Linked DNA regions of Caenorhabditis elegans. The protein of the gene in region 1 interacts with the protein of each later gene in a pairwise test. Each region holds a gene or a part of one and is shown on either strand. Other genes may lie near its edges. The genes, in order: unc-130, tbx-37, nhr-8 and nhr-5.

The links.
Region 2: the proteins of unc-130 (region 1) and tbx-37 interact in a two-hybrid assay, tested with the Caenorhabditis elegans proteins (one large-scale study listed by BioGRID).
Region 3: the proteins of unc-130 (region 1) and nhr-8 interact in a two-hybrid assay, tested with the Caenorhabditis elegans proteins (one large-scale study listed by BioGRID).
Region 4: the proteins of unc-130 (region 1) and nhr-5 interact in a two-hybrid assay, tested with the Caenorhabditis elegans proteins (one large-scale study listed by BioGRID).

The regions. Positions count from the first base shown.
Region 1 is NC_003280.10:11,279,080-11,285,885, forward strand, and holds unc-130 (Forkhead box protein unc-130), read left to right. Parts: upstream 1-2,886; 5' UTR 2,887-2,915; coding exon 2,916-3,253; intron 3,254-3,687; coding exon 3,688-4,014; intron 4,015-4,254; coding exon 4,255-4,591; 3' UTR 4,592-4,880; downstream 4,881-6,806. UniProt on the Caenorhabditis elegans protein: Probable transcription factor. Binds to DNA sequence motif 5'-CTGTTTCA-3'.
Region 2 is NC_003281.10:11,223,181-11,230,233, reverse strand, and holds tbx-37 (T-box protein 37), read left to right. Parts: upstream 1-3,108; 5' UTR 3,109-3,115; coding exon 3,116-3,321; intron 3,322-4,209; coding exon 4,210-4,528; intron 4,529-4,933; coding exon 4,934-5,350; 3' UTR 5,351-5,426; downstream 5,427-7,053. Other genes in the region: Y47D3A.13 (DUF4349 domain-containing protein), read left to right, coding at 6,206-6,394, 6,471-6,692. UniProt on the Caenorhabditis elegans protein: Transcription factor. Required for mesodermal induction, acting redundantly with transcription factor tbx-38. Together with tbx-38, acts by inducing cell fates in the AB lineage, thereby playing a role in development of the anterior pharynx.
Region 3 is NC_003282.8:7,708,064-7,715,779, reverse strand, and holds nhr-8 (Nuclear hormone receptor family member nhr-8), read right to left. Parts: upstream 4,637-7,716; 5' UTR 4,632-4,636; coding exon 4,551-4,631; intron 4,003-4,550; coding exon 3,910-4,002; intron 3,862-3,909; coding exon 3,569-3,861; intron 3,244-3,568; coding exon 3,147-3,243; intron 3,101-3,146; coding exon 2,893-3,100; intron 2,690-2,892; coding exon 2,489-2,689; intron 2,443-2,488; coding exon 1,972-2,442; intron 1,925-1,971; coding exon 1,855-1,924; intron 1,780-1,854; coding exon 1,611-1,779; 3' UTR 1,582-1,610; downstream 1-1,581. Other genes in the region: F33D4.6 (aECM cysteine-cradle domain-containing protein), read left to right, coding at 51-311, 397-468, 633-1,439; mrps-24 (Small ribosomal subunit protein uS3m), read right to left, coding at 5,055-5,249, 5,334-5,434, 5,487-5,592, 5,641-5,733; emc-6 (ER membrane protein complex subunit 6), read left to right, coding at 6,052-6,101, 6,154-6,233, 6,277-6,482; mrpl-1 (39S ribosomal protein L1, mitochondrial), read left to right, coding at 6,697-6,781, 6,832-7,057, 7,107-7,716. UniProt on the Caenorhabditis elegans protein: Orphan nuclear receptor.
Region 4 is NC_003282.8:15,396,685-15,407,252, forward strand, and holds the start of nhr-5 (Nuclear hormone receptor family member nhr-5), read left to right. Parts: upstream 1-3,592; 5' UTR 3,593-3,648; coding exon 3,649-3,718; intron 3,719-3,766; coding exon 3,767-3,828; intron 3,829-3,838; exon of another isoform or gene 3,839-3,859; intron 3,860-4,087; exon of another isoform or gene 4,088-4,108; intron 4,109-4,285; coding exon 4,286-4,424; intron 4,425-4,472; exon of another isoform or gene 4,473-4,493; intron 4,494-4,603; exon of another isoform or gene 4,604-4,624; intron 4,625-4,647; coding exon 4,648-4,710; intron 4,711-4,785; exon of another isoform or gene 4,786-4,806; intron 4,807-4,887; exon of another isoform or gene 4,888-4,908; intron 4,909-5,113; exon of another isoform or gene 5,114-5,134; intron 5,135-5,143; coding exon 5,144-5,316; intron 5,317-5,380; coding exon 5,381-5,626; intron 5,627-5,758; exon of another isoform or gene 5,759-5,779; intron 5,780-6,478; coding exon 6,479-6,627; intron 6,628-6,657; exon of another isoform or gene 6,658-6,679; intron 6,680-6,810; exon of another isoform or gene 6,811-6,832; intron 6,833-7,189; exon of another isoform or gene 7,190-7,214; intron 7,215-7,339; exon of another isoform or gene 7,340-7,360; intron 7,361-7,376; and 28 more. UniProt on the Caenorhabditis elegans protein: Orphan nuclear receptor.

The DNA.
Region 1 (6,806 bases):
CTTTCAATTCTAAAAATAATAAAAAATAACTCAAGATTTTGGTTTTGTGAAAAAAATATAAAAACACGTGAAAAACTTGTTTGTAGTCATTTTGCAAAAAAAAAAGTTGGTTTTTGAGCACAATGTTCAACAAGCTTTGGGTGTAGGTAGGTATGAGGTAGGCCTGTCCATTAGGAAAGTATCAGTGTTCATTACGTCTACGCCGATGTTATATGGCACCTGCCGATTTGATCAGGGCTTGAATATTAGAAGCTAATTTTGTACTTTTTGTCTAAAATGGTTCTAATTATTTATTAAAATACCTTGGGTAGAATATCGAAGAGCCCAACTGGTCTCATGTCTCGCCGGAAAACGCGTCCTTTAGTTACTTGCGATCATATTTTTATGCTATTCGAGTTCCTTTTATGCTATTCGAGAGCTATTCGAGGAGCTACTCTTCTATTTTGGCTCTGATTATTTTTTGTCACTGTTAGAATTTCTATAGGCACGACTGACGACCGCTTTTTTCCCGGAAAACGCCCCACGTAAATTTGCACGCATACTTTTGGTTGGGAGCCAGTGGGGCGAGGATCCTCCCCTTCACGTAACACCTCAGTCTTCCGAGTAGGAACAAAATCGCAAAACTTTCGTGGTAAGACCACCGGCACCCCATAAACATTTATTAAGTAACACACACACAATTAATGCGTTCCTTCCCACTGCCAATCTTCTTATCAGAAAGATGAAATGACCGTCTCAACCGAGCCTGTGTGTCTATTTGTGTGTGGCCTTTGTAATAGTTACCACCTAGCTGATAACCGAGAAAGTTGGATTACCTCATGATTCCCTCATAAATTTGCCGACAGGTTCTTTAACGAAAACATATTTGTCTTTTGATTGTCTATTCTCTATTTACAAATTGATAATTGGGAGAATGCCACCCAGAATTAGTCGATTTAAAATTGAGTATGATCTACATAGATCTGAGTAGTGGTTGATCACAATGATATAATTATTATATATTAGTATCATTTTCTCTTTCTCTCTCTCTCTAAATTCACCCTGTCATCAGTGATGATTCTCAGTTTCGAGCGGCGGAGGGGCGAGCGTGTGGGCGGAGCCGCGTGTCCAATGAGCGTGGGGCGGGGCGGTCCAATTACCGGTGTTTTCTTTCGTTTATTCGCTTTTTGTGACTATGACACCAAAACGGAAGAATCAGTGGATCAGGCAAAAATATTATTATTAGAACTAATAGTTGGATTTAGGTTGGGTATCATTCTGTACCTATTTCACCTGATTTCTTGTGCTTCACTTGATCTTTGTCTTTATTATTATTGTTATTATTGTTGTTGTGCTCCTTGTTGTGCTCCTTATAAATCCCGTAAACTCTAAATCTAAATTGTTATCTAATACTTTTTATTGGTTACCAATAATATTACTTCTGCCAAAAGAGGCAAAACGCCGCGTTTCAAAAAATGAAAATTTTTATCTGTTGTTCATCACTGTCAAATTTATGATTATTAATATTTCTCACCATTCAAATTAAAACTTTTGCTTCAAAACTACATAAAACATTCAAAAACTTGAAACAAATTTTATTCGATTTTTGCAAGTTTTTTATTTAAAAAAAATTATACCGTATTTTCCCTAGCATTCATTTTGCTCATATCTCGGTTGTCCCAAGTTTTATCAAAAAAATTTTAACTGTCATAATGTAGAAAAATAATTTTTCCATAGTTTGTAAGTTGACAATTTTTTGATAGAACCAGAGAGAATCGAGATATAAGCTGTCAAAGAAGAGCAAGGTGCATGCAAGTCAAATAGGAAAATAGTGGGTTTTCCGGTTTACAAATTCGCATAGTTTTGAATTTTTTACAGAGTTTTCACCATTTTAGAGAATTGCTCACATTTTCTGAATTTTTTTTTCAAAAAATTAACTGGTACCTAAATTGAAATTTAAATATTTTGAGCAGAAGAGGTGAAACTCTTTTTTTAAATTTTTTAATTGCTTCTCATATTGATACTATTCTCTTTTTGTGCCAAAACTTCTAATCAATGCCCCGCTCCTTTCAAATCCTAAAGTTCCACTTAAAAACTGAAGAATCAAAAATCTTGAAACCTGTACTGTATGTACTCTTCCAAAAAACCACCTCCGTGCTTTTCATCATTTACAACTTGTCTCCCAGTCCTCGTCCGCAACTTGCTTTTGATATATTTTTTTCGACTTCTTCATTTCAACACATACCTACACACACAAAAAAAGTTTGCGCTAACACATGTCCGCCCGTCATAAATCTACAGTAATCTCGGAGCTTTCTTTCTCTCTCCTGATGCTCCCACACCACTCTGTCATTTTTCAATTGTTCTTCTCTTGGAAGCTCATCTCTCGTTTTCATTTGATCCTGCTAGAAGACACTTGATATGTTGTTTGTGTTAACTAAGATAACTGATATTGTTGAAAGTGATAGCTTTGCTTTGCTTTTCAACTTTTCGTGTTCCTCCTGCTCTTTTTTTTGACAGCTTACTAGTACCGAGTTCGGACCCCTGCATAGTACTACAAATATTATATTAATATGAGAATGATATACCCTTATTATCCCCCCACGTACTCTTGAGAATCATTAGTATGTTTCAATGTTTCGCCAACAATGGATTGGTATCATCTGCCCTTACCTACCGTACTCCCTCAAGTGCTCCCTCATCCATGATTACCGTACTCCCCTACTCTCCTCCCCCTTCTATCCGATTATAACATTTTTATTAATAATTATTATTGTCTGGTGTCTCGCGATGCCATCTCTATCTTACGATTTCGCTTTGAATTTTGATAACGCTATGAAAATATTAGCTTTTCTTATCTTTTTTATGTTTTACTTTTTTTCATAATTTTTTCATCAACTTACTTGCAGAAACTAACTAGGTAGACACCGGTAACAATGCTCTTTTCCATGGAATCAATTCTATCAAGTACCAAGCCAAAACTGGAGCCACCTCCGAAGCTAGAGCCGGAAGTGACAATCAATGAGCAAGTGGTTGATCTGCCGCGGAGCAACACACGGCTCTCCGAGCCATCAACTTCTGCGTCGGTTCTTGAACATGATTTGAAGTTTGGGGAGTCCCGAAAAAGAAGTCGGTCTCTTGGAGACGAGCCCACGGAAGATGAAGACGGCGTTCCAGTTCGGAAGGCAAACAAAAGAAATCATTCAACTTCAAGTGCTGCAGATAGCTCATCTGATGATGCGAAGGATGATGACGACGATGATGATTCTACATCGTAAGTTGGGAACTTGGGAAAAACTTAGGAATCTTAGAAGAAATTCGATTTTTCTCGACCTCGACCTTTTAGGTCCTTTTATACAAAAAGTTTGTATGCTCAATTTTTGTGAAACTTTGATCTCCGATATTTTTAAGTCTATTAGACATTGTTCAACTACCGTATTTTCCCTGTATGACTTGCATTCTCTTTACTCTAACTTGACGGTTTATATCTCGGTTGTCCTAAATCTTACCAAAAAAGTTTAACTGTAAAAATGTAGAGATATATTTACATGCATTTTGTCAGTTGACAATTTTTGATGAGACCAATAAAAACCTAGATATTGGCTGTCAAAGTAGAGAAATAGGTAGAGCAATATACCTATAATATGTACAGTGATATGTACAATAATATGTACTGTGTAAAACAACTGTAACTCTATAATTTTGCAGTCGAAAATCAATGTCTGGTCACCGAAAGAGCAGTCACGCAAAGCCACCGTACTCCTACATTGCACTCATCGCGATGTCAATTCTCAATTCACCGGAGAAGAAACTGACACTTTCGGAAATTTGCGAGTTCATAATCAATAAGTTCGAGTATTACAAGGAGAAGTTCCCCGCCTGGCAGAACTCGATTCGTCACAACCTAAGCCTCAACGACTGTTTTGTGAAGGTGGCTCGGGGGCCTGGGAATCCGGGAAAAGGAAACTATTGGGCGCTGGATCCGAACTGTGAGGATATGTTCGACAATGGATCGTTTCTGCGCAGAAGGAAGAGGTAAGGGGAGCACAGGAGAAAGTATTACAACCTGACGGGGAGTAGTAGCCGGCGGCGGGGTGAGCACACATACGAGATGTGAAGAGAGGGAAAAGACAGTTGTTTCGATAATTTGTCACCAATTTGTTGTCATTAATCGCACCCTCGAGGGTAGTGGAGAAGCCTGGGAAAAGAAAACTTTCGGGGTTAACAAGGGAATTAGTGAGATAAATTTTCAATTCAAACACTTAATAATTTCAGATACAAGAAAAACAGTGACACATATCACGAAATGATGTCCCATCATCCGATGCCATTCCCTCCATTCCTCCCGCAAGGAATGCCCTTTCCTCCAAGAATGATGCACCCGATGGCTAACATTCCCATGCTGGGACATCCAATGAATCCAAGAGCAGTTCCAAACATGCCAGCGTTCTTCATTCCACAAAATATTGATAGCCAGAAGCTCTTGTCAATGATGGCTTCGAGAATAATGCCAATGGATGCTCCAGTCAGCTCTGGCCAGAAGAGAACTTCATCGAGCTCCTCACCAAATGAGAATGGATCTTCGGCAGTTTCAGATAAACTGAGCGCTTAGAAGAACACTCAATTTCCTTGTTTAATTTTTAACAATTGTTTCCTATTTGCTTAACCTTTTCTAGTCTCTTGTTCCTTTTCCGTTCCCCTTCAATTCCTTTCAGCATTCTTCATTTCCCCTGATCTCAATCGTGCAATCAATAATCAATTTTTTGTTAATCCTCCTGCACGTGGTACCACAACTTCATTTCTTCAACTGATCTTCCCTTTTCTTTTTTTTCTTTGTTTCATTATCTGTGAAAGAGCTTATGTCGTAAATAATTCGAAAATATATATGTCCATCGTCAGCATTTTTGAAGTTAAAATCACATTAATCAATTGAGCAAACAGTAAGATGAAAGGAGACCGCAGAAGCTGCTGAGCCGATTAAAAGACTGAAATTGATAAGGGAGGGAAGTGACAAGACTGCTGCAGAGTTACTAGTCTGCAAAATGTCATGAATCCAACAAAAAATCAGGGTTCAGAAGACTAGGTTTTTAGTAGAAAACATACCGAATTTTTCAATTAGTCTTGCACCAAATTTGCTCTACTTTGGCAGCTCATATCTCGGTTGTCTTCAATTTTAACAAAACATTTTCAACTGTAAAATCATAGAAACATATATGAAAAATATTTCTACTGTTGAAATTTTCGTGATAAAACCAAAAGCAGCCGAGATAAGAGATCTGAAAGTAGAGCAGAAGGGGTGCAGTACTAATAGGAAAAGTACCGTAACTTACCTTTTCCTAACTTTTCTAAATTAGATGGATATATAACTGGACGCGAATATTAGCCACAGACAGAGTTCCTCAGCCTCCAAGAGTCCTCATTTTTCCATATAACCTGGCTCCTTTGGACTAGATAGAATTTCTAAAAAGACGACCTATGCCTACTTTTCTGTGAATAAAAACCATTAAAACCATAATTTAAATCAACATAAAGCTACTTGTTGTTTGGGCAAATAATGATACTAACAATTAAATGAACATTTTGAAAACTATGCTAAGATTATTCAAATGTTATCCTAATTACCAAAACCCTAGTTTAACTCGGTGACTTTTTGAACTCCCGCCAAACCATATAATTATCTCAAGCATGTCGTCTTCATTTCTATCCTAATTAGATACCCATACATAGTGTATATATGTATATTCAAACTATACAAAACGGATATTGCTTATCAAATTCATTCATCAGTTTGCCACGTCAAATCAAATTATCGAGAAGTGTGTGTGGGGGTGCAGTTTCACCTTATGCCACCTCATGTTTCGTTTGACGGCACATGGTGACAGGCCCGATGAGATTTTGAACCGTTTAATTGATACTAATCGGTATCTTAGGTTGTATTAATGTAATTACAAATACCGTATTTTTTAATGGTATGCACCTAACTAGTTAGAGTTATCAATTGTATTGGACCAACGAAAAAAGCCGATACAAGCTTTCAAAGTCAAACAATTGGGTGTAATGCTAATAGAAAAAATAAGATAGTTAGGAAAAAGGTGTTGCCAAAATATAGGAGCCTCTGCTACAGTAACCCGTGTTTAAAAGTGCCAATATCCTAATTATCTCATACAATGCAAAACTCTCCATCACCACCTGCAACTACTCCGCTCATATACAAAACAAGGATTATTTCAAGTAGGTTGAGCATAAAGATGTGAGTACGATAAGTACCGGACAATAGCCAGCCAAAAAAGGCTAACCGCCAAGAGTATTTCCATACAAAATGTGCGTCGGCTAATCCGCAAATTATAAGGTGCGACATACACAAGTCGTCGAGGTGGCGCAACTTAAAGATTCATCTGATACTGGGCAGTGAGAGAGCGTGTGAAGTGTTATAGACGCAGACGCCAAGGACATGGAGTAAGTGAGCAGATTGTTATGCAACCGAGCATTTGAATACCATCTTGTTAGGTAATGGACCCATCGAGACATATATACATACATAAACTTGTAACACCTTCTGTTGGCAAGGGTGAACACATAAAATTTGTGTCTGTGTTTGTGGAGGACATTTGGGGGTAATCAGTAGCAGAACAAGGAGTTAGTGGGGAGGAAAGTGATCGGGTAGCACAATTTGTTATCAGTTTTGATACAGTACACTCGTTTTAGCACTGGTTTGTTAGTTTACGTGGTGGCCATTGTTTATTCGCAATGCCAAAATTATGATTGGGAGTTGATAGATTGACCTGCTACTATAGTTATTTCAGAGATTTTTACCTGTGTGATTAAAG
Region 2 (7,053 bases), on another chromosome or scaffold:
TGCCGAGTTTGGGAAATTTACCGAGTTTGCCAAATTGGTCGTTGGTCGAGCTTGGCAAATTTGCCGATTTCGCCGTTTGCCGAGCTCGGCAAATTTGCCGAATTTGCCATTTGTGGACCTTGGCAAATTTGCCGATTTTGCCGTTTGCCGAGCTCGGCAAATTTGCCGAATTTGCCATTTGTGGACCTTGGCAAATTTGCCGAATTGGTGGTTTGCCGAGCTTGGGAAATTTGCCGAACTTGTCGTTTGCCGAATTGGTCGTTTGCCGATTTTGCCGTTTTCCGAGCTTGGGAAAGTTGCCCATTTTGTCGTTTTTTGAGATTGGGAAATTTGCCGAATTTGTAGTTTGTCGAGCCGAATTTGCCATTAATTTTGGCACTTTTTGAGCTCCAAAAAAAATTGCGATTTACCAAGTATGATGACCACGGCAAATTTACCGAGTTTGCCGAATTTTGCCTCGGTAGCTCGGTAAATTTAAAAATTCACCGCACACCTTTAATAAGTCCCGGGTAAAAAATCATAACCAGAAAAACATTGACGTCATTCCTTCATTATTACAGTCCAGTTCCCCACTATATCGTGTGTCCTCTTTTTCCAAGCCACGTGGCAATTCCAAAAGTGTCCTGGCATGCGTATGTACCAAGACATAGATATCTGCCAAATTTGGGAGATAGAGGTGTGTGTGTGTGTGTTACGGTTGAAAGAAGCGTGCCGCTTAGAACTACGCTTCAAAGTTTCAGAAAAAAAACTGAAAATTAATTTTTGCCAACTTTATATTAGGTTACCAAATAAGTCCCGTGTCAAAAGTCATAACTATTTAGAAATTATTGTGTGTTTTTCAGATGACCCTAATATCTCTAGCCGGCATCACATTTTTCAGACAAAATCGTATCTTTATTGTTTGAAGCTTTTTCCTGGATGTTATATATTTTTAAAATTGTATGCAGTATAACAACAAACAATCATACAAAAAAGATAGGAAAAAATCTACTGGGAAATTTTTTTTTAATTTTAAAAATTGGCTTGGCATATTTACTAAAAAATTTCCGAAAAAGATTTTTCCTTAATTTTCTTAAATGGACCTCTAATAAAAAGTTGTCAAAGTTGCCCATAGCAATAATAATTCTCAGTTTTTTCCAGAAACTTCGAATCTTAGCTCCAAGCGGCACGCGTCTTTCAACTGTAAGACACACACACACCCTTCTCTTCCAAATTTGGCAGGTATCTAGATACATTTCTTAGTACATACGCATCTAAAGTCATTGCCACGTGGCTTGGAAAACAGAGGACACACGATATATTGGAAAAATGGGAAGTCAAGGGATGACGTCACTTTGAACCACGTCCCTATAAAAACCGCAAAAGCCATTGAAAAGTTGAGAACTTGTGATGATTATTTTGTCAGTAATCGATTTCTCGAATCTCGACAGTTGGGAAAAATATTTAAAATTGTTAATTAACAGAAATTGCATTGCATATGCAAGTTTCAATTGGAAAAAAATGAGGAAAGGCTTAAAACTTATAACTCCTGTCACGCGATTGCTGTAGGGCAGAAGTGTGCGGCAAATTTGGCAAATTCGGCAAATTTAGCAAATTTGCCGTGATGAGCGAACTCCTAAAAATTAGAAAATTTCTGATATTTTTTTGGAGCACCAAAATTACGGAGTTCTTAGCACACGATTGATTTTTGAATAACGTCCATGTGGTCGGCCTACATAGAATTCAAAATAATTAAATTTTATGTTATTTTACTAGAATTTTTAGTACAAAATCAATAGTTTTTGTCAAATTAAAAAAATCCAATTTTTTGTGGTGTGCGGCGAATATCAAAAATATACTTTTACGAAATTTGCCGGATTCGGCAAATTTGGCAAGTTTTCTGGACACTCCTGCTGTAGAAGCTACTAAAAAGTTGCCAACTAATAAAATATTGTAAATTTTTTCACTATAATTTTTGTTGAAAAATCTCTGACAAATCCCATGATACTCCTCTCTAAATCATTCTCCCGCCCTCCCGCTGAGCACGACACATCTTCTCCTTCAGAGCCAATTCGCACCGCTATCACTAAAGTGTGAGGTGTCGAGGTGTAGGTGGAGGTATACTTTCGAAGTGTGAACTACACATTCTGGATTGTTAAAGACTACAGGAGCACAAAGATGCTCAGTGGGAGGTGAAAGAGGCGTTCTGGATTCTGACAGTAATATTGGCTCACAGTTTGGTGAGTTTTCAATTTTTTTTTTGGTATTTTTTCGTCTTTTTTGCTAATTCGTGGTGTAGCTCATCATTATTACTATGGTGTGAATTATTTTGAATTTTTTTGTTAAAAATTTTTTGGCTAGAAGTTCAGTAAATTGACACTTATAGGGTGTAAAAATGTGAAAAAACCAGCTAATAACTTTATGCCAAAAATTCTGGAAAATAAAATATCATTAAAATTGAATTACTTTAAATTTTGTGCAGGCAGACTACACTAACCTTATTGAAAAACCAAACGTTTGCTAAGAATTCCGTATTTTTATTTCTCCAAAAAACACATTTGCCGAATTTGCTGAATTTGTCCAGCTCGGCAAATTTTAAGATTTGCCGCACACCTCTGGTTTCAACCAAAAAAAGGTTTAAAAAAATGCTATAAAATTCGAATTTCCGCGCATTTTTTGATTTTCTAGAAAGTTCTTTTTACGTCTTCGAGTATGAAATAAAATTTGAGCTTCTGTTTAAAGTTATCTGCTCGCGAATTTCAAATCCAACATTTCCAGTGCTAACGGGGGTTTTCCATCTTTAATATTTATAAATTTCAACTACACTTTTCCAGTGTTCCCCCGTTAAGAATACAGCCTAACCCTCTGTTCTTCAATTAGGAGAAGGGCCCCCATGCGTTCATATGTATGTACCAAGTTGTGCCCGACTGCCACGTGTCCACCACTACGCGTGATCTACCTCTTCCCGCTCCTCCCACTTACCGGCTCAGTTTCAGAGCATGAGTGAGAGTGTTGTTTGCACTTTTATTACAATTAGCGCCATTATTATTATTTTATTGTTTTACTTCCGTTCTCACCTTTTGAAATCTTTTGTATTAATATTTTCATAATAATTTCCCTCTATTACAGCATCACTATGTACTCGTGCACCTCTCCTTCTGGAATTGAGGTCTCTTTGAACAAGCCGGAGATTTGGGAAAAGTTCTACCCGAAAACTGAAATGATTGTGACGAGAAAGCGTGGGAGAGTCATTTTTCCGCATTTGGATTATAACGTCAAAGGATTGGATCCGGATAGTCTCTACTCGATTTATATTCATTTGGAACGTGTTGACGGGATTAAGTGAGTTGGAATAAATGATAGAAAAAAGTTGTCAACTAGTAAGTAAATTGTAGGAAATTAAATTTACTACAATTTGGTAGTTGACAACTTTTTGATTAGATGCATGCCTAGAGAGATATACAAGTTTAAAGTTGGAATTTTAAACTGCTATAGCATAGAGTAAATTTATTTTGCTTTAATTGACGTAAATATTGAACTGTGATGACCAAATATAGCCGTTAAAATTTTTTCTAAATTTTTTAAATGATTTTTCAAACTGATTTTTTCCGGATTAAGTTTGCCAGGATATTTCGAAAAAGTGAGTGGAGTCTAATCTCCCATTTTTTTTTGACAAAATTAGAAAAAAATCATAAATTATTTAGAAAAGTTGGAAAATTTTTTTAACAGTTATATTTGGTCATTACGGGCTATTTTCTGTCACTTGAACCAAAAATTGTTTCTTCTCAGCTTCTGAAGTTCCAGCGCCCGCAACTCTTTTAGGAATTGCCCTATAGAAAAGCAGTTAACTAACAGTTTGTAGATATTTGAATTTTCTACAGTTTTTTAGTTGACAAAATTTTGATAACTTTTGTAGTTTTTGAAATATTGATGCTAATAATGCCCCTCAATATTAAAAATCGGAAAAATCGGATAAAAAGCGGATTTTAATGGGGTTATTCAAGTAATTTAGCAAAATGTATTGAAATACATTTGTGACGTCACAAATGTATTTAAATACATGTTTTTATATACTTGAATACAGTTGTGACGTAATTTTTCTACACTTTTTAATTTTCCGACAATACTTGAATAACCCCATAAGCGCATTTTTCTGCAACAAAATCAATATAAAAATATTCGTTTCTAATTTTCAAAAAAAATATCTCGTTTCTAATTTTCCATTTCCAGATACAAGTTCGATGCCGGAGAATGGAAAGAAGCCGGAAAAGGTGATCCAATTCTTCCAATCCAGTACAAAGAGCATCCACGTGGCAAGCGTACTGGAACAGAATGGATGAGTGAGCCCGTCTCGTTTGCTCACCTCAAAATCACTAATGACCCGGAAAACAAGGATCAGAAGCTGATTTTAGCTCAAAGTCTGCACAAATACATTCCAGTTTTGCATATCAAACAGCTGGATCCTTATAAAGGAACATTTCAAATGGATTTTCATGGAGTTGAATTTCGCTTGGAGGCTACGCAATTTATCGTTGTTACTGCTTATCAGGTTGGGATTTTCAGCAATATTTCGAAAACTACAAATGATATAAAAAGTTCACGGATTTCTGGTTTCCCTCATAAACTGAAATGGGAGAGTTTGTGCCGAACTAGGCATTTTGGCTCGGCCATATCTGGGGTAGATTTACGGCGCGTTGCGTGTCGCGTCGCGGCTCGATTGTAAAACAAAATGTATTTGTCCGTGTGGATGTGGTGTATCTGTGGTGTTTGCGCACTTTCGAAGCTACAGTAACCTCGAAATGGCCGAATTTGGCTTTAAAAAACGGTTTAGTTATAAAAAAAAATCGAGAGTAATTCGAATTTGAGCTTTAAAATTTTGAAAAATCATACATTTTTCCCGTAGTTTTTAATACAAGTCTAGGTAAATGTTTACCAATTTTATGTAATTTTCCAGAACGAAGAACTCACAAAACTCAAGGTCCATCACAATAAATTCGCCTCCGGATTCCGTTCAAATGGCAAGAGACGGCTTTCTTCAGAGTCTGAAAATTCGGAAAACTCCCCGCCAAAGCGCAGCGCCTCGGCAATTTCTTCATTAACCCCACCAGCAATCTCCCCGCCAATGGATTATACCCAGCAAAACCCATATTTTTTCAACCAAAACTTTTTCTCGACTCCGCAGAGCCACCAGCCACAGTTTGCTGCTCATAGTGCCAATGCTCAAAATTACAATAATTTTGGAGCTCAAAATGGGGCTCAATTTGATTGGAATGTGTATTATCAGAGACAATGGTACTGGCAGCAGCAAATGATGATGTCAGGTGGAATTGGACAACCACAAATGCTCAATAATGGATTTCCGAATTTGTGATTTTTTTTAAATATTTATATTTATCGCTTTTTTTTAATTTTTAGCTTTTACAATGATCTTGAAAATAAATTTATTGAATGCACTTTTAATTGAGGATTGTTTTCATAGAATGTAGATAGTTAGCGAAAGTTGGCGAAAACTGCCGCAAGTTGCCTAAAGTTGTTGTAAGTTGGCGAAAGTTGGCGAAAGTTTACGAAATTTACAAAAAAATCAGGATTTGCCGGAAAATTAGTAAAGCAAAAGCCGTTTAAAAATTGCCGATAGTTGGTGGAAAGTTCCAAAATTTAGGGTAAATTATTTTTAAAAACGCAAAAAAATAGCAAAACTTCCCAAAAGTTGCTCTGAATTCGAGAAAATTATGAAACCGATTTTTAAATAATTTATTTATTTATATTACCAGCCGTGGACCGCACCTCCGGCGCGGCCCCCGACTTCTGGAGCTGAAAACCAATTTTTCTGAGACTACCGTAATCATACAGTACTCCTACCGTACCACCATTGTACCACTACAGTACGCCGACTATATCCCTACACTAACCCCAACTCACTATCCCTCCAGAAGCTAAAACTTCACAGACTACAAAAACTACATAGACTATAAACTATGGACAAACGGAATAAGCGCTTTATATATAGTAAATGATAATTAAAAAAATGTTTGAAATAAAAATAAAAAAGTGAAATTTCAACAAAAAAAATCAATAACCTTTTTGACCGTGACCCTTAAGCTCCGCCCACAAATCGATAGGTATAAAAACGCAGATTTTTCACTAATTCAGTCATTCCTTCTGTGCGAAGAAACACAACAAAAAGAAGAATATGATGGTTGGATATTTGGCTGGATGTATTGGCATCATGTTGGTGCTTCAATTGTCAATTGTCAATTGTCAACTAGTGCCAAGTGAACGACACAATCAGAAGATAGCTGAACAGATCAATGATTACAATAATGATCCACATATCATCAAGGCCGAGATTTCTGCACCGGATGTCGTTGTCAACAAGTATACACTTCAGGATAAGAACATTTCTGCCGCTCTTAAGGTTAGTTTTTTCCGTTGCAGAAAATCGAGAAAAATCGATAATTTCGTTCTGAAAGATCGATAATTAAAAATTTCAGAAACATGTTGCGGAAGCGGCGGCACACTTTGCAACAATGACTGACGCTGACCGTGACGCCGCAGTTGTCCAACTACCAAATGCAAATCATACTGGAAATGGAGGAGGAGGAAAAGGAAAACGATCATCTGGCATGAAAATCGATGTGGAAGGAACAAAGAATCTGCATAAGCAGGCGCTGGAATTTCTCGACAAGTATGATGTTGAACTCCACGTGGAGTAGTCATGGTCAATGACGTCACTTGTTCGGAGTTAATCTGTATGCTTGTGTGTTGATATGAAGGTTTTTGTATTTTTTTATTAAAGAATGAAGAGGTTGAAAGGACTTTGTTTAGTATATTGGATTAATGATATTGCAAAATATATAATTTCTTTGTAGATTATTGATTTTTTGTAGAGTACGGATTTTCACTATTTGTTTTGTAATTTGTCGTCATAAATTTCACAGTGCGCCTGAGAATCTCGATAGTTTTCCCTACTTCCCTCAAAAATCGATAATTCAATTTATTCGAATGAAATAGTTTTTTCACAGTGCCTCACGCCTGCCTCTCGTCTTGCTTCTACTCGCCGCGCTAGGCAGGTCG
Region 3 (7,716 bases), on another chromosome or scaffold:
AAAACCCACACAAAAACTACAAAGTATAGTTTCAATTCCATTATTTTCAGATCAACTTGTTCACTGATCCAACAACCACTACCACTCCAACCACTACCGAAGAACCAGAAGTCACGACAATTGAAGAAGTTGAGCAAGAGACAATTAAACCAAAACGCAAGTCCCTTCCAAGACGAAAGATTCATTATCTTGAAAAAAAGGGAAAAGACATGCATTCTCGTCAATTTGGAGCAAAAACTGTTCAGATGAGTGATCCAATCGATATTCAAGCACAGGAGGAACAGGAACCAGTCAATATTCTTCAAAAAGAGGTAAGTCTTATTTATTCTCTCTCTCTTCTTGGTATACTCTGTTCATTCTAATCAATCACATTTGCTAATCTAACACTTGTCTCAGGGAAGCATTCGTGTGTACAGCATCAATCGTAAAAGAAAGATTCGCAAACCACGTGTCGTCAAAGTTGAAGAAGTAACTTTTTGTTTTATGCACTTTTAGATGCCTTCGGATAAGTTAATTTTGGGGGCCTTTTTAATTTGCACTCAATTGCTGTCAGCACGTTAGCTGCAAATTCAACTAATAACTCATTTGGGAATATCTTTTTAGTTTAAAAATCCTCATTTTTATCATTTCAGAATGAAAAGGTTGAAGAGAAACCAGTTGAGGAGGAAGAAGAAGCAACGACTGAACCACCAAAGAAGAAGAGAAAGATGAGAAAGAGTCACAAAACATCAAAGAAAGAAAAGAAAGAGATCCGCAAGTTCCCAGATCTTTATGACGAGCAATGGAAGACCCAAGTGGCTCCAAGTGTTTCCCCACCATCCGAAGAGTTTGCTGAGCAATTCGATGGAGTTGATGAGGTTCAAGAGAGCCCAAAAAGACAGGAAACAACCCAACAAGAAGTTCAAAATGATACTCCAATGAATGATGCTATCGAACAGAGAAGCAGCAAGGTTCAGATGTTGACAAAAGAGCAGGAAGAAGAACTTTTGAATAAGGAGGTTAGAAAGAGAGTTATGAAGAGAATTCGTCTCTCAAAAATGAAGACTACAACCACAACAACTACTACTGAAGCTCCAACAACTACACCAGAAGAAGAAGAGGAAGAAGTTGTGACAGCTGCCGTGGAACAGGAAGAGGAAGATGATGTTATTGAAGCAGAAGAGTTAGTTGAAGATGAAGAAGAAGATGTAACAACCACCACCACCACTGAAGCTCCAGTTACACGTGCTCAACGTGTCAAGAAAAACAAAAAGAGAGCTGTTGTGACAAAGCATCAATGCTTGAACCTTCGTAGCTTCGCACGTCAATTCTTGTTTGATACCGTTGAAGAGTTCGCAAAAGAGCACTGTTACTTTATTGAGAACTATTATCCAGCACTAACATGTGCTCGTTCTCATGCTTATGTTGCCAAGTGCCAAAAGTGGTTGAAAGAGGAGTAATTAATTAATACCTTTATATTAATTTTTATTTTGATTTCGATCCAGATCTACGTGTATTTGTTTGTAATATTTTCTCCATCTTTCTGCCCTTGACTTTTGTGCAATTTTCTCAAAAACTTTCTCATGTTAATAAGTGTGCAATATGTGCAATAATTCATGGTTAATAAATGGTTATTCAAAAGAACATAATTCTCGTATCAGAGGATCCAATTGAGCAATATCTAGTCCATAAAACACACGAAGTAAGGTCCTATTCACACGATGAAGCTCGACGACTTGATTCAGAAGATTACTGTATGCAATGTCAGCACGTGATTTACCATATTCAAATGTAAGAAGTCTGAAAGTAGGACAATATTAAAAATGTTATAATCAAAAAGTTATACAATACGTGCTTTTCTCGTACAGTACTTACTTCAAGAGCATCTGGAAATATTTTGCTTGTGTTGAGTGCACTCGTTTACTATCACGTAAGTTGGAGACATCTGAATTAATAACTTTAAAACGAATCAATTTTGAAAAACTGGCTCACGAGGATGAAATATAACAGCTGCATTGAAAATGAGCATCAAATGTTCATTATTCCTCACATCTTCTCCAAACGTTGAAAGCAAGTTCATGTGTGCTTTGTAATGTTCTTCAAGTTTTGGATTCTTAAGAACTTCCACCTTTACCTCCATTTTTCCTCGTACTCCAAATGAATGATTCCAGCTGTTATCACTCTTGTCATAGGCCATAAGACCCCGCACAATCAACAACTCCCCAAATCCACTTTTCAAGAGATTTTTCCTATCGTCCACGTGAAGCTCTCGGAATAGACTTAATTGGCATGCCATGTTAACAATCCTTCGTAGAGCTTCTTCTATTATTCTAAAAACTCCATCAATGCTTTTCGGATTGTGCCATTGAATTAGTGGAGCATTTAATGGCTCATTTTGTACATGAAGTTCTTCTAAAAGAGTTATCTCGTCTTCATTCAAAACTCCAATGTATTTGTCAATCTCTGAAAAGTTGCAAAATTCAAACTTATGGATGACATGAAACAGTACTTGAATGAATTTGTTCTAGCAAATTTGGAGGTAGAGTTTCAGTTACTGGAACTGTGGACACTGCTTGAATTGGAGTCCATGTTCTTTCAGGCATTGGAGGAAAATTCAAAAAGTTGGCTGGCGCAGCCATTTGGGCCATAACACCAAATTGAAATGGTGATAACATTGGAGGATATTGCGATGGCATTTGTGGAGACAGTTCTAAATTTTAGACGTATATTCTTTACTTCAGTACGTATTAATAAAAGTGTTTTCTTGTCGGCTCGGAAGGCGGACGTAACTCTTCTGCCTACTTTGAATTCGTAGTGATAGCCTTCTAGATGAGTTATGTCTGGCTTGTTGTCAAACATTTTTGACAGTGAGGTTCTAGCGTTCAGCTTCACGAGCTGCTCCTAAAAACATACCAGTTATTGAGCTCGGTATAGACGCCGGAGAAACTGTGTAGTTGGTTGGAGATTGAGTAACAAGTTGAGAAGTATTGTAACCACTGGAATCATGTGAAGATGGAGCACAACTGATAACCGACATTGGAGAAAGAGTTGAAGTAGATGAAGAATAAAACGAATCCGAATGATGAAGATGATGGGAGAATGATATATCTTGTGGACTGTTCTGAATATAAAATAATTGATTTTCTTGTATTTTAAACTCTACTAACCACAGCTGTTGTATCCTTTGGTTCGTATGCGGTGAGTCTTTGAGTAATTGGATAGAATCCACACTGGCATTTGCATGTACATCTGTCTTTTGATTTTCTGAAAGTTCAATGTACGATTGTCTGTTACTAGAGTGACGTAGTTTTGTGGTCTTGTGTGATCTACTGATTAGATAATTGTACTTTCTCATACGGTACATATCACAGGTTATCGAGAGACCACTTTAATTAAATAGATTCAATTGAATAAATGTGAGAACGTGCTAAGGCTGCCATGGTAGGCACTTCTTCATGCCTACATACGTGCGCGGCTACTGTTTTTGCATTCTGGGGTAAAGGCGTTTTTTTGTTATTTTCCCGTTATATTATAGTAAATTTGTTGAAACAGTAGTTTATTATTTCCGGATAATTTCATTGAAACTTACTCATTAGCTTTATTGATAAGCTTTTCAAGTAATGCTTTGGGGACACTAATTTGTTCTTCATCATCATTTTCCAAATCTTCTTCAGTATCATCTACTTCCACTTTCAAGTTATTCTTCATATCAGGCTTCTTTCTTTTGAATTTTCCAGAAACAATTGAACTCTTCGGTTTCAAATCATTTAACCATTCACTGTTCATTCCAACAGCAAAACATTTATTCAATCGACAAGCTTGGCAAAACTTGCGAGATGCTGATGTGATTTGACAAGAATCAGAGAAAGGACATTTAATTTCCTTAACACAAAATTTTTAACAACTTGAGTATGCTTTTTTTTTTAAAACCTTATGCTTTGAAGCATTTCGCCTGAAAAACGCCTTACAAGATTCGCAAGTGAGTACACCAAAATTGTATCCATTTGCACGGTCGGAGCAAACCTAAAATTAATTACAATTGTTGGTTTAGAAGTATAAATGAAAAAACGTTTTTCTATTATATTTTTACAAAAATACCACCAGATTTGTAGTAATCCACTATGGAACTCATCTTACGTTTTGGAAAAGACGATATGTATCCAAACGGAATTTTCTTTTTGATTTTTAGGTCAAAAATACGGTACCAGGTCTCGGCACGACAATCTTTGTTCAGTACAAAAAGCTGTGTGCATTTGAAGATTACTGTAATTTCAAGCTGTGGAATTTTCATTGATAATTCATAGCTATTAATACTTTTTTAAAAACATTTATGTGTTTTATTTTAGTTTTTCACGTTAAATATGCATGTTCTTCTAAAGTTTGAAATTACAGTACTCCTTAAAGACTTGTCTTGGCGAGACCGGATACCGTATTTTTTAAGCAAAAATCGAAAAATCTCACGCCGTTTCCAAAATAAAATTACAACTTTCTGATGGTTTTTTCAACTTTTAAACCAGCGTCAAGAGGCTCTTCAATAAAGTGATTATATTCTAAATAATATCAAAACTAACTGTGCAAATTCTGCCAGCAGGCTCTTTTGGTGGAACAGCAGACCTTCGAGACTCGTCCATCGATGGAGAAGACGAAGGCATGGAATGACGAAATTTTTGTTTTAGTGATTAAAATGTTGTTAGGTTTTGCAGATAAGTCACACCACAAGTGGAATAAGATACGAATAATAATCAGTGATTATATGAGCGACGCATAGTTAACTGTGATTCACGTATAGTTAAAAAGGACGATTGAAAGGGCGCAATAGTTTGTATGAAAGACTATGGGGTTTGCTTATCAGTGTGCGAAGTGAGCACAAATATTTATTGATTTTTGTCAAACCAATGCGCTGATTGATAATTTTATGAAGTCTTATCGTTGACTCTCGTATATTTTTCAGGGACCAAAATCCAGAATCCAAATGCCAAAATTCAGATTTATTTTGTTTTTTGGAACACAACAGAAACAATTAAAGAAGTAAAATAAAACTACGGTATTTCGGTTCTATAACAAAGATGAAAGTTTTAGATATAGTTGTATGCTACATCTTCTTCGGATTCCACAAATGCCATTTCTAGCTTCACTGGTTGTTTCAGAAGAATGGAAAGAAATTCTTCTGCAAACCCGAACATCCAGTAGATTCTTCGAATATCGAGTCGACGCGAATATTGAAGGAATCCGGCAACGATCAGTACGTTTCCTCGTCGTTTGATTACAATCTGGAAAAATGTGAAGTTTTGCAAACTTGGATAAGAGAAATAGATACTATACTGAATTTTAAAATTTTTTTGATAAGTTATTACCTCATTTCCACTAACGACTAAATTTTGTGGGAAAAATCCTCGAATGAACCGACGAACAACTTCATCTTGTGCAACAACCAGTGGTTGAGATTGACGGAATTCTAAAAACAAATTTTAAAAATTGTTAAATCGTAATTCAGTTTTGGAACAAACCTTCGAGATTCTGTGAATGCCATGTGAGCCACGATTTTCGCACGCCAATATGATGTGGTTTTTGAGCCATTTCGTATGTAAGAAGTTGTGTTCTATTTGATGTAGACGGAAATTGCAAAATATAAATGGGAAAATAATTGAAAGATCAACAAACCTTGGTTTTACCCGCTCTGTTCTTGAGAAGCATCGATGTTGTCGAAATTTGACGACTGCTGAGGGCTTCGACATGTTGTATACTTCGAAGCATGTCTGAAATTTATAAAAATAATATTTTAAGCAGAAAAATATATTTATAAAAGCGATTCAGTATAAAAGCGAGGCAAATGCAATATTTTTAAAGAAAAAAAATTAGCTAAAAAAAGAATATTGCAAGTGCGCTCCCCAGGACTGATACACTGTCACGTCAGAATGCACAGATTTCTCAGAGACAAATTTATTAATTTATTCTATTTAATTCTTAAATTCCCTTTGCAATCCAGTTTTATTCAATTTTAAATAATTTTATGTTGTTCTAGAACATGTTCTTTTTTGATTATTAGTGTTATTTGTAATTTCAGATTTTCAAATGTCCGATAAATCGTCAAAAGCAGAAAAGAAGAACGATGAGTGTTACAAGTGAGTCGAAGTAAAAATCATGAATTCAATAATCATGTATATATTTCTTCAGCACGGCAGCGATAACCAACAACGTCGAAGCTCTCGAGTTTGGAAGAACGTGTCAGTCGTGCGCCGCCGGTATGGCAGCAGGTAATTTTCAAAAAAAATCATTTAAAAAATCCTTCTTTTACAGGAATTCTCGGACTTACCGGTTTTCAAGGCTTCATTCTCTATTTCATTTCTGTTGGAATCCAGGCCGTTATATGGAACGTGAAATCACAAGGAAACTGGTTGAGCTACTTTCCGGAAAGAAACTCATTCACTTGGTCGCACGGAAATGGTCTTCTCACTTTCGTTCTGCTCTGGGTATTCTTCTACGGAATGGTTCATGTATACTGAGATCCATTTTATTCGCGAAAGTCTACATTCCCTTTTATTTATTTCTAAAATAGATGTATCTATTCTTTTCAACATTTTATACAATTTAATAAATCAATCCAGCTTTAATCTACCTATTTATAGTTCGTCACTGTTTTAACAGATAAAATAACTTTAAAATAACCTTATAAATGTGCTTCCTTGTTATTTAAACTTTTCATTTGTTCTTTTCAGGATGTTATCGTTTGTTCGACAGACGGTATCTTCTACTGGGAGTAACATTCTACGACCAGCGTCAGCGGATGTTATTCAGATTAGAGGTTCGTTTTTTTTTAAAATAAATGTAGTTTTAAAAAAAACTTATTTTAAGGGCGTAAAAGAGCGTTGAAGCAGACAATCACTCGCCAACAAAAACTAGAAAGACGAATGAAAAGGGAAGAAAAAGAGGCAGCCAGAAAACAATACTCATTCATGGAAAAAATCAATATTCGGCGAATGAAAAATCTTCTATCACCATCTCAACAATTTCCAGGCAGACTCAACATTGACGATGAAGCTAATCTCCCTGAAAAGCCAACATTGGATGTTTTCATAAAGTATCAGACCTGTTTTGTGATTTCTATTTTTTATTCTAAAATGTTTCAGATCTCACTTCAAAACGCAATACTACACAGTCTCCGAAGCTCTTGACATGCATCGTGAACTTCAAAGCCCATCAATCTACAATAATCCAAATGCTCCAATCCGTCTTCGCCTTGAACTTAACATGACAACTGAGAGGCAGACGAAAATGGTCACAGGAAGTGATGAAATTGTCCCAGTCCCTCATCCATTCAATCATAACGAAAAAAGAACCATTTTAGCATTCGCTAATGATGTGAAACTTCAAGAACTGGCTGTAGAATCTGGAGCTGAAATGGCTCTTGGACAAGATACCATCAAAAAAATCATCAAGGGACAGTTCAGGACGGACGATTATGATTTCTGTGTATCTCATTCAGATATGGGATCATCGATTCTTCCACTACGTGGAATTCTTAAAATGAGATTCCCAACAAGAGCTAATGGAGGTCTCGGAGAAAATCTTCCAGAGCTTATCGAAAAATTCAAGAACGGAGTGAAACTTAATATCAAAGGAGATCCTGTATATCCCATTTGGGGGCTCAGTGATTGCGTTGTTGGACGGTTATCAATGCCAAATGAACATATTGAAGCCAATATCGCAACTGTAATTGCAGCCGCATGTGCTCATCGT
Region 4 (10,568 bases), on another chromosome or scaffold:
AATGAATTTTTAGTGAATTTATGAAACATGGCGCATAAAATTTTCCAAAACTTGAAATTGTAAATAAAAAATTATTGGTTGGCGGGATTGTAGTGGAGCTAAAATCTCAAATAAAATGTTTCAACTAGTCTTCAACTTGACCTAATTTTTCTCAGTTCAATGAAATTGTAGTAGACTGCTGCCAAAAGATTCTTTTTTTTTGCAATAATATTCGACTATGTGACTAAATTTTCAATTTTTTGTTCGACCTATTTATCAATTTTAAAGTGAGATAACCAAATTTCACTTCTACCGGAAACAGTAAAATTGTTTTGTTCCAAATTTGCTGATAAAATTAGTTTTGAATGAAAAATTGTTTCACATTTTCCTTTTTAAGACAGACTCAAAACTTTCTCAGTATGATATTTTCTCTCCCTCTTCCTGAAAAAAAATGAGGTTTTTATTTTCTCAGTCACGAGGAATACCATCTGACTTTAATTTAAATAAGTGGATAAAATTCTGTCTGAAACAGAAATTTTTTTAAAGTTTTTTGTTCCGATTCGTTCCCAGAAAACTAGTCTCAACTAGACTCATAGCCAATAAAAATCGTAAATCGGATTTTCCATTGAACGTATTTTTAAAAAACACGATTTGGACTTTTAAGTCAGATTTTGTCTAGTATTAAAATTATTATCATTTTTGAAGAAAATATCACAAAGTAATAATTTTTTCAAACTGTTTCAATGTCTCAATAAATTTTTTTGAAAAAATTTAAAGGACAATGACAACTTGTTACTTATAGTTGAAAGTAGGTGCCATGCTAATTCAAAAAGTTTACTGTTTCACAGTTATTTGAATTAAAATTTAATAGGACACAAAGGTGCTTTGTGCTTTTTCGAAATTTTGAGTTTTCTTTTTTTTAATTTTGTTCAGGGAAGTATTTTTCTAATTATGCTAAAGTTTTTTTTCTTTTTTTCTAGAATATTCTTACCAGTTTTGATGTAATAGATAGAAACGGTAAACTTCATATACTTAGATTTTCTGCTTTTTTTGAGTACTGCTCTACAACAGTGAGATACCCTGGAGGAGAGGTAAAACATATTTTCGTACGAGATCCTACCATTTTGAAAGTTTATTTAAAAATGCCTACTTCACTAATAACTTTTCTACAAATGACTAGAAAATAAAATTTTTTAATTGGAAATGTTTCAAAGATTACTGTTTCAAAATTTCCATGTAATTATTTCTCGTTAGAACAAGAGTAATGTCCAAAAATTCAGAATCCAGTTTTCATTAACAACACCTGTATACGGAAAAGTTCTGAAAATGCTTTTCTCTTTATATTGAGAAGCAATTTACAAGACCCGACATTTCACCAACAATCCTTTTGGGGGAACCCGCAAGATGTCGGGCGCTATCAGACTCAAAAAAAACTCTGCTAAAGTGTGCCGTAATAAAAAAGTAGCAGCCGACATATTGTCAGATTTCTGAGGGCAGCCCCGCGCGGTGTCGGGTGCAGAGTAATGTACTTATTCTCAAATTTCAATGATTTAGCAACATTTTTTAAAGTTTTCTTCATCCTTTTCTACCACACAGTTAGAAGAATAGTGATACGACCTTTAAAATTTCCGGGAAATTCAAAAAAAAAAAAACAAATATTGCTTCAACATTCTCATAAACCCTGTTACTTTTCAACGGTAATAATCTTGTCAATTTGTGTTAAAGCCGCAAAAATGTCTTTAATAATATTTCAAAAAATTGATCCAAGTTTTCCCTTTAGGACTTTAGGACTTACGGTAGAATATTTTAAAAATTGCAACAAAAAAAAAGAATATTGTTTCACAACCTCCATAAAATGTTCAGTGTTCCTTTAATCCCATTCGTATCGTTTTACTTACAATTTCCATTTTACTGAAATTAAAAATTTTCTCGTGATAAAAACGATTTCTGATATATTGCGAAGGCCAAATCGATCCAAATAATCAATCACCTCCAAACTTTGATCGTTCAACGCAAGAAGCCCGCTTAATTTGAAAAAATCGTCGTATTGGTCAAGTTTCAACTTCCCATCACTTTTCTCTCTCTCTCTCTCTCTCTCTCTCTCTCTCTCTCTCTCTCTCTCTCTCTCTCCACTAAATACTTCCAACCGCACAGTTCAAAGATAGAAGATATTTATTCCATGAGATAGTGTGCTGGACTGAAGAGAATCAGAAAATCTAGTCTTCTGATCAGAGAGAGAGAAAAAGAGACACATGACCGTACTTGACGGCGACTTGTTTGTCGGTAGAGGGGGCCTGATTCTTTTTTGTATTGATTTCTCTCTTCTGGGTTACTGATAATTCACTTTTTTGGAAGGAATTTTTGTGTTTCCGCGCAATAATGTTTTTTTTCTATATTTCGAGAATTCAACTTAGGTAATCAACAAGACGAATACTGCTGCTTACAATTTTTCCAGATCCCATAATTTTGAAACTGTAATAAAATTAACGAAAACATTTATTTTTTTTGCTAGCAGATTTATTAAGGGTTTTTGGTAAAAATCAGGAGGTTGTTAGAAATATTAACTTTAATGAACTTCAGAAAACGGTCTAGAAAATTTGATATTCCAAAATCTCATAGCATTTGCTAGTAAAAACAATTTAACAAATAAGCATCACCATTTTAATAATTACTGAAACAGCAAATTTTCAAAAAAAAATTACATAAAACTAATTTAAAGCGTTTATAATTTATAATTCAAAAATGTCTACTTTTTCTGAATGTTCTTATATTTTGAAGTTAAGTTTCTCGTTATTACAAAGTTGCTTCAATGTGAAATTTATACGCAAAAGCTTTGAATTTTGGAATAGCTTCTTCTATTTTTTCTGTTTCGAAAAAATAAAATTCGATAATTTTTTACCGAATTTTTTTTTGGTGCAGAAGAGATTTTAGAAACGGTAGAAAATGGTGGTTTTCAAGAGTTTTCAAATTTTTATTTTTAATAAAAAGTTATGTATTTTGAATATCCCAAATGTTCAGTTAATTTCAAAAAAAATTGATTGTTAAAATTCACAATTTTCTACTTTTTCTGAATGTTCTCAAATTTTAATATAATTTTTTGGAATCAATAATTGTGTCATATTCAAACTTACCAAAAATTTCTTAAAAGTGTATATAAAACTTTTCTGGAATAGCATTGCATTTTTCATCGTTTCAAAAATAAGACTTTTTGATTTTGGTTTGATTTCTAATTTTGAAAATGATTTAGAATAATTAAAATTTTGGTGAACACCCCCTATTGTCAGTAATATAAAATCGGAGAAATTATTGATTTTTTGAAACAGTAATGACACTTTTTGAATACAAATTTTATTTCTTCTGTAATATTTGTTGTTAATTATTCTATTTTTCCCATAATTATCCTTTTTTTTTTTCGAAAATCTACTTTCAAAGAATTTTTTGTAATTTCTTAATTGATTCCAGCTTATCATTTGAGATACCAAAAAAACCAGATATAGCAATTTTATAACAAGACAGGCATTAATTCACACTCTCATTGAAACAGTGGAATTTTTAAATTTTCGATTTTTTGAATCTTCTCTTCAATTTTCTTTTCATCTAATCATTTTTTTTTCAATTTCAGATAATCAATCTCATTGCAAAGTCTTTCAATTTAATTTGACATCAATTATGTCTTCTGGCGGTAACAGTTCAAATGTGAATAGAAATTCTGGGAGTAGCAATGTGATTACTTTGAATGGTATGATTCCCTGTTTGACCAAAAATTTTTAAACTTTAAAATTTTCAGATTCTGACGAAGAAACCGAGGACAGCAATTTGGGCAGCAGCTCGTCCACAAATCTTTGCAAAGTTAGTTTCAAATCTTTGCAAAGTTAGACTAGTATTGCACAAAAATTTCTAAAATTGTTCTAAACTTTTTGAAACAGTAATTTTTTTCCTATAAAAAAAGTTTCCACACTTTTAAAAGTTCCTCACTAAAATGTTCTGTGACCAATTTTTGTTTTATCGGATTACGGAATTTAGAGTCTGTTTGCATCATTGAACCACTCACAAAGGGGCACATATTTTGAAAAATCACGTGAGTTTTCGTATATGTAGTTAGGACGGGAAAGTTTTTTTCAATAAATTAATATTATTGTCTAAAGCAATTGCCATTCCTGGAGAAGGTGAAACAGAGCTTTATAAATTTTAAATTAAGTTGACAAAGATTTAAATACAAAACTTATCCTGAATCTTCGTTGCTACAAGTTGCAAATTCCCGTAAATTAAAGTAAAAAAATTATGGGGCACATCAATTACATTTCAGGTATGCGGAGCCGAAAAAGCTGCTCTTCACTACGGAGCACTGAGCTGTGTCGGATGTAAAGGCTTCTTCCGTCGGGCTCTTCTGAAGGCTGATCAACTGGAATGTGCTGCAAATGGAGAGTGTACAGTTAGTGTTTTGCGTGAGTTTGACATTGGGAATTGCGCAGTTTTTTACTTTTTTTTACTTTTTGAAAGCTATCAAAGTCATATTGACATTCTGTTTGAGTCAAAATGTATATTTTAGTGTTGAAACAGTAAAAATTATAAATTCGTTAAATAATTTTAATCATAAAACCTATGCAATTGCGCGCTTGAAACAGTTTTTCCTTTACCAAAGTCAATTTATTGTGTTTTTTCTTTCAGAGAAAACCCAATGCAGAAGCTGTAGATTCAATAAGTGCCTACGCGAAGGAATGAATCCTGCTTGTGAGTTTTATTTTCAATCCAAAATTTTTGGAATTTTTTATTTATTTCTATACGATTTTTAAATCGTGACATAAGTTCGAATATACATAAAAATAAATCGTTTTCAGTTAATACCTGAAAGTAAATTTTATTCTTGAAACAGTAGTTTTTTTTTTCAATTTTTGATTTTCCAGACTTTATACGTTTTGTGTTTTGATATCAATTCAATATTTAATTTTTCCGTTTATAATATAGCAAAAACAAAAAAAAATTATGCAGTAAAGCAGTTAAACATATTTGGAACAATATAGCAGTTTCGAATGTATTAAATACTATTGAACTCCCCTTTTTAAGACAAAAATTATTTCAAAAATTTTCAGTTTCAAGTTTCCCATAAATGTTTCAGCTTTTGTTTTAACGGTACTCATCCTTCAAATTTAATATGATATCTCAGATGTCCGCCCAAACCGAGACGCACCTCCAAAGCCACGTAAGCCGACAACTACAGTAGCCACGTGCGATCAAACTGATCGTGGTAGGACCACAAAAAGCCGCGAGGAGTGGATGAAAAAGATGACGGTTGAGATGAGAACAATATTAATGACACTGTTGAATATTGAGACAAAAGTAGGTATTTCGCGCGGGGGCCTCGGTTATCGTCGGCTGCTGACACAATTTCTATTAATTACAGGTAATGAAAGGAGATACACAACAAGAAGCATCAAAACTGTACCCGCTGAAAGGAATTGATAAGCTCAGTGATATCATTGAAACACCGATTCAATTAAAAGGAAAACGAACAGAAATGAGATATGAAGCATACAGAATGGCTGGAAATGATGAGTTATGTGCAATTGCCTATCGGAGGTTGATTGCTGCAATTGATTGGGTTGAATCGCTGTCACCACTGTTGGGACACCTAACGCCTCAGGATAAGGTAATAAATATTCTTTGCAAAGTGAGAAAATAATGGAATTTAGAAAAAATAAGTTTTAGAAAATTGAAAAAAATAAAAAAAAAATATTGCTTCACCCTATTTATTTAACTGACGTTTGTTTCTACAAAGCGCTCTCCATTCATTACTTGCTACATGGCTTTATCCTCAAATTTAGTTTTAAAGTGGATTTAATTATAATTGCTAGTTTTTCTTCAACTTTCTGGCCTGATACTAAATCTCTTTGAAAAACTTTGATTTCGCTGAAAAAAAGGTGAGAAGTTGACACAGAACACCTTTTTTCAATAGTTACTGTTTCAAAAGTCTTTAAAAAAAAATTCCAAAATTCCGAAATTCCAAAATTTTATTTTTCAGGATTTTTCTAATGTTGACTGCAAATACACTTAAAATAAAAAACTGCGTGGCGTGTACTGCAGACAACCTAATATTTAGGCCCCGCCTTTTTTTCGTCTACTCACGGGATAAAGGCGAAATTCGGGACCCCAACCAATATCATACCGCCGACATCTCACGGGTTCCGCGCGCCGCTGCGTTTAACTCGCTGTGGGCGTGGTGAGCTGTCTCCGCCCGCTGCGAGTTAAACATAGCTGCGCGTGGAACCTGTGAGATGTTGGCGGCCTGATATTGGTTGGGGTCCAAATTTTTGCCTTTTCTCCGTGAGTGGACGAGAAGAAGGCGGGGCCTAAATATTAGGTTTTCTGCAGTACACGCCACACAGCTTTTTTTCATTTTTAGTGTAACATCATTTGCACAAAAAAATTGGTTTCAAATTGTTTTCAAAAAAATTCCCAATTTTAACTTAAAAATCACGCTTAATTAATAATATTCCCTCAGATAGCACTGGTCAAATCTTCATTCGCCCCACTTATGGTCTTCAATTTTTGTGCGAGAACAGCAGAAGCTTGTCAGGATGAGAATGTTCTATGCCTTTGTAATTTTGCATATGTTCCACGGAATATATCAAAAATGTATGAGGACACATAGTGAGTTTTAGTTTTTTTGAATTATTTTCTTGGACTTTATGAGAAGTTTCAATATTAAATAGAATAGCTAGCTAGAATTCACTAACAATGTGAAACAGTAAACATTTCTTATTCATATTTGTTTATAAAGTACATATGTGTCCAATTTAGGAGCTTGACGGAAAATTAGCGAGGCAATCACAAAACCTTACAACAATTTGAGAAACATTTTTTCCTAATTTCAAACACAAAAATAATGTTAGTGTAACAGTGAAATTTTTTAAAAATCAACTAAATTGTTTTCTAGGTATTTCTTCATTTTAGAAATGAATTTCTAAAAAAATTCTTTTTTGTTTAATTGATAATGCCAATTGAGAATATTACTTGTACAAATGCTTTCACGACTTTAAATTTTCATATGTACATATGTTCTTTGCTCTTATTTAAGACTTATGACGCCACGCCACGTTGTGTGAGTTTGACAGCAAATTAACGGGGAAATCAAAAAATAATAAAATATTTTGATAATGCCATTTGAGAATAATACTTGATTTGTCTATATTTTGAAGACAATTTTCACTTATTTGGTTCGATGTTCTTGTAATTAAAGCCTCAAAAAGATCATGCACTTTTCAAATAAGTTTGAAACAGTGAACAATTTTTCAACTTGAAATGTTTATTCTCGTTCCGTTTCGGTAAACTATTATATTAGTCAGCATTTTCAAGAATTCATTACTTTTGTATTTCTTAAAATCATTTCAAAATTTCAGTCACCTCGGCAACGGACTCGTGGAACGTGCTCTAAATGAGCTTGTAGCAGTATATCGGGAATATGGTATGAGAGAAGAGGAAATTGTTTGCGTGAATGCAATGATTTGTCTGAATCCTCTGGCAAAAGATGTATCGGATTCTTTGTTTGAAAAGATTGTTGAGCTGAGAAATCGAATTGCTGATTGTCTTTTTTCAATTGTTAAGGAGGTTCGATTAAGTCCGACACCGAATGTATGTTACGGACATATACTTCTTTCATTGGCTACTGTTACAGTAAGTTCATATTTGTTTTATTTGTTTGACGTTGAACAGAGTTTTTAAGGGATTTGAAACGTTGTTTTATTTTAAAAATTGATTTTTTTAAAAATGGTAAAACTTTTTTTCCGTTTCGTGTAATGATAAGCAACAATGGGTTTCGAGTGATTTGTTCAAGGCGCTTTAAACGTTATAGGCTTTTACTGATTTGACGACGAGAAAAATATTTGTAGAGGGTTAACTCACAATTTTTTTGGAAATGTTCAACTAGAAAGAAAATGAAATTTTAAAGTATTAAAATCTTAACTTTGCTTCTACACAGTCACACATTTAAAAGTTAAAATTTTGAAAATCTACCGTTTCAACAATGTTTGATATTCATTTATTATAAATCTGAACTGTTTGTTTTTGGATTCATATTTACTTGCCTCATTCGAATTTATTCTAAACTACTTTTATAGTTCATAACTTCTCCAAATTCATGTTCCCCAATTTTTGCAGGAACTAGCAAATGCGATGAGTGAAAATCTCCAATTTGCTCAAACATTTTCAAATCAAGGAGAAATTCCACTTCTCACTGACTTATTCGGCTGTTTCACAGTTGAACCATTTTTCAAAGAAGTCGACGAGCTGGCGGCAATGAGTTTGGAAAAGGCGAAAGCTGAAAAGAAGAAGGAAATGAGTACACAAACTGATAGGTTGCCTCCTCCAAGAGCATTATTGGTCAGTTTTGATATGAATTTTGAAATTTCAAGAAATTGTAGAAATACATTGTTCTGCCAAAAAAAATGATTATTTTTTTCGATTTTTTTTTAAATTATAGTTTTCAATAATACAAAAGAGACCAGACTCGCAACACATTTTAAATTAGAACATGATTTACATTAACTTGACGAAATTGTACTTTTTTTTGAAAAAAAAAAGTTTACTGTTTCGTGGCTATCATTTAATTCAATACCAGACTCTTTCATATTTTATGCAGTTCTCTAACCGAGTAATATTTTCAGAAACGACAAGCAACTATCGATGAGGACAGCGAAGAACCTGCTCGACAGAATTTTCGACTTTTGCAGCCTCCAAACAATTTCTACATTACTGAAATGTTGGATGATTTGAGGGTGAGCTATATGTTTTTAGCATTTTTTTTTCGTTTCCTTTGTGTTTGCAAGTTCCCCATGAGACATAAAGAGTCTGAAATTTTTATGAGTTACTTATTCTTTTCACAGTTTTCAAGTGATTCAAAATACCAGTAAGTTAATATGAAATATTTTTCTTCATAAGCGACCTGCACATCATTGTGTTTTTCCATTAGTCATTAGTTTTTCAAAACTAGTTGAAACATACAATTTTTCTTGAGAATTCCAATTCCAAACTCTTCCGTTTTGTTTTTTTTTTAAATCTACTTTATTTATGATTTAGTTTTGAAAACGAATCACATAAAGTGAATAGAAGTTTATCAATTTTCAAATTTATTTTTTTAAACAATCAAATTGTTATATTTAGCTAATAAGAAATGATTTTTTTAAAACTCACCTAATGTTAATTTTTAGAAGAAAAACAAATTATTCTACATTTTTATTAAAAATTTATTATGTTCCATCTGAAAGAAGATAGAAATTAAAGCTGAAATTATATAACTGATATTTATAAACGTTTTGAAACAGTACGAAATTTGTTTTTTTTTTCAAATTCTTATTTCTCGACGATTTGTTATATGGAATAGCTTTAAAAATCAATTTTATATTAACAACTCGAGAAACTGAAAATTTTGAAACAAAAAAAATTAAATCAACTGTTTCATCTACTCTATATTTTCTTTCCACTTTAAAATTTTTTTAGTTCGCTCGTGTTGGCAGATAATTTCAATTTTCAACATTTAAATGTTTTTAACACTATTTAAATCCTTCAAACAAGAACGTTAATTTCTAAAAAAAAGTATTTCTAAAATTAAATCAACTGTTCTACTCACTCCATATTTTCCTTCGCTTTAAGATTTATTCAGTGCTTCTAGCAATTCCACAATACCTACTTTTCCCATTTCCCACATTTTTTCCATTGTCTCCCTACGTGTTCCAGGCACCCTCTTCCACCCAATCGTCGTCTGATGATCCTAATTCTGCTATGGTATCCACACTGTTTTGAAATTAAATTTTATTCATTTTTCAGAACAATCACGCCGAGAATCATTTGATAAGTCTCAACTTTGACGCTTCAAACGTTTCGAATGCAATCGCTTCGAGACCCAGTTTTGAGGATTTGGGTACTGTACCAAGTGGTTCAACAGTAACACGACGAATTGGGAGTAATATTCAAGGTTTGTGATTTAATGATATTTGAAACGGTCTGATATATTGAAAAATTGTTCGACAATTTGAATTTATTAACATTGTGAAACAGTAAAAAACATGTTCTAAAATTTGTGTTTCTGGAGTTGCCAAAAACCATTGCTCATGAAAAAAAAACACATTTTCAACATTTCCAGGACCATCCCACCTCCCTCAATGTGGTTCTACAGTAACCCAAAGACCTACAGTACCCTCCTCCACAACATCCTCCACATTCTACAATTTCCCTCCACCACCTGGTTATCCACCATTAAATGCTGGATACACACCGAATGTCAACTATCCGAATTTGTATCAACAACCACAGTATTTCCAGAATTTTCAGCAAAATAATTACCCATCTCAAGTCATGGAACAGCAAAATTATGGAAATGTTGAAAGTACCAGTTACCCATTTCCACGAAATGATGGTTTTGTGTATAATCATCCGAATATTCCATACTCACATCATAATAATAGTCTACAACAAAATAATTTTCATAATCAATATGCAAATTAGGTCTTCAAATGATCAAGCGTCCGACACCTGACGGGCCAGAACCCGTAAGATGTCGGGCGCTTTTCTTTTCCCCCTCCTCCTCCACATTTCCT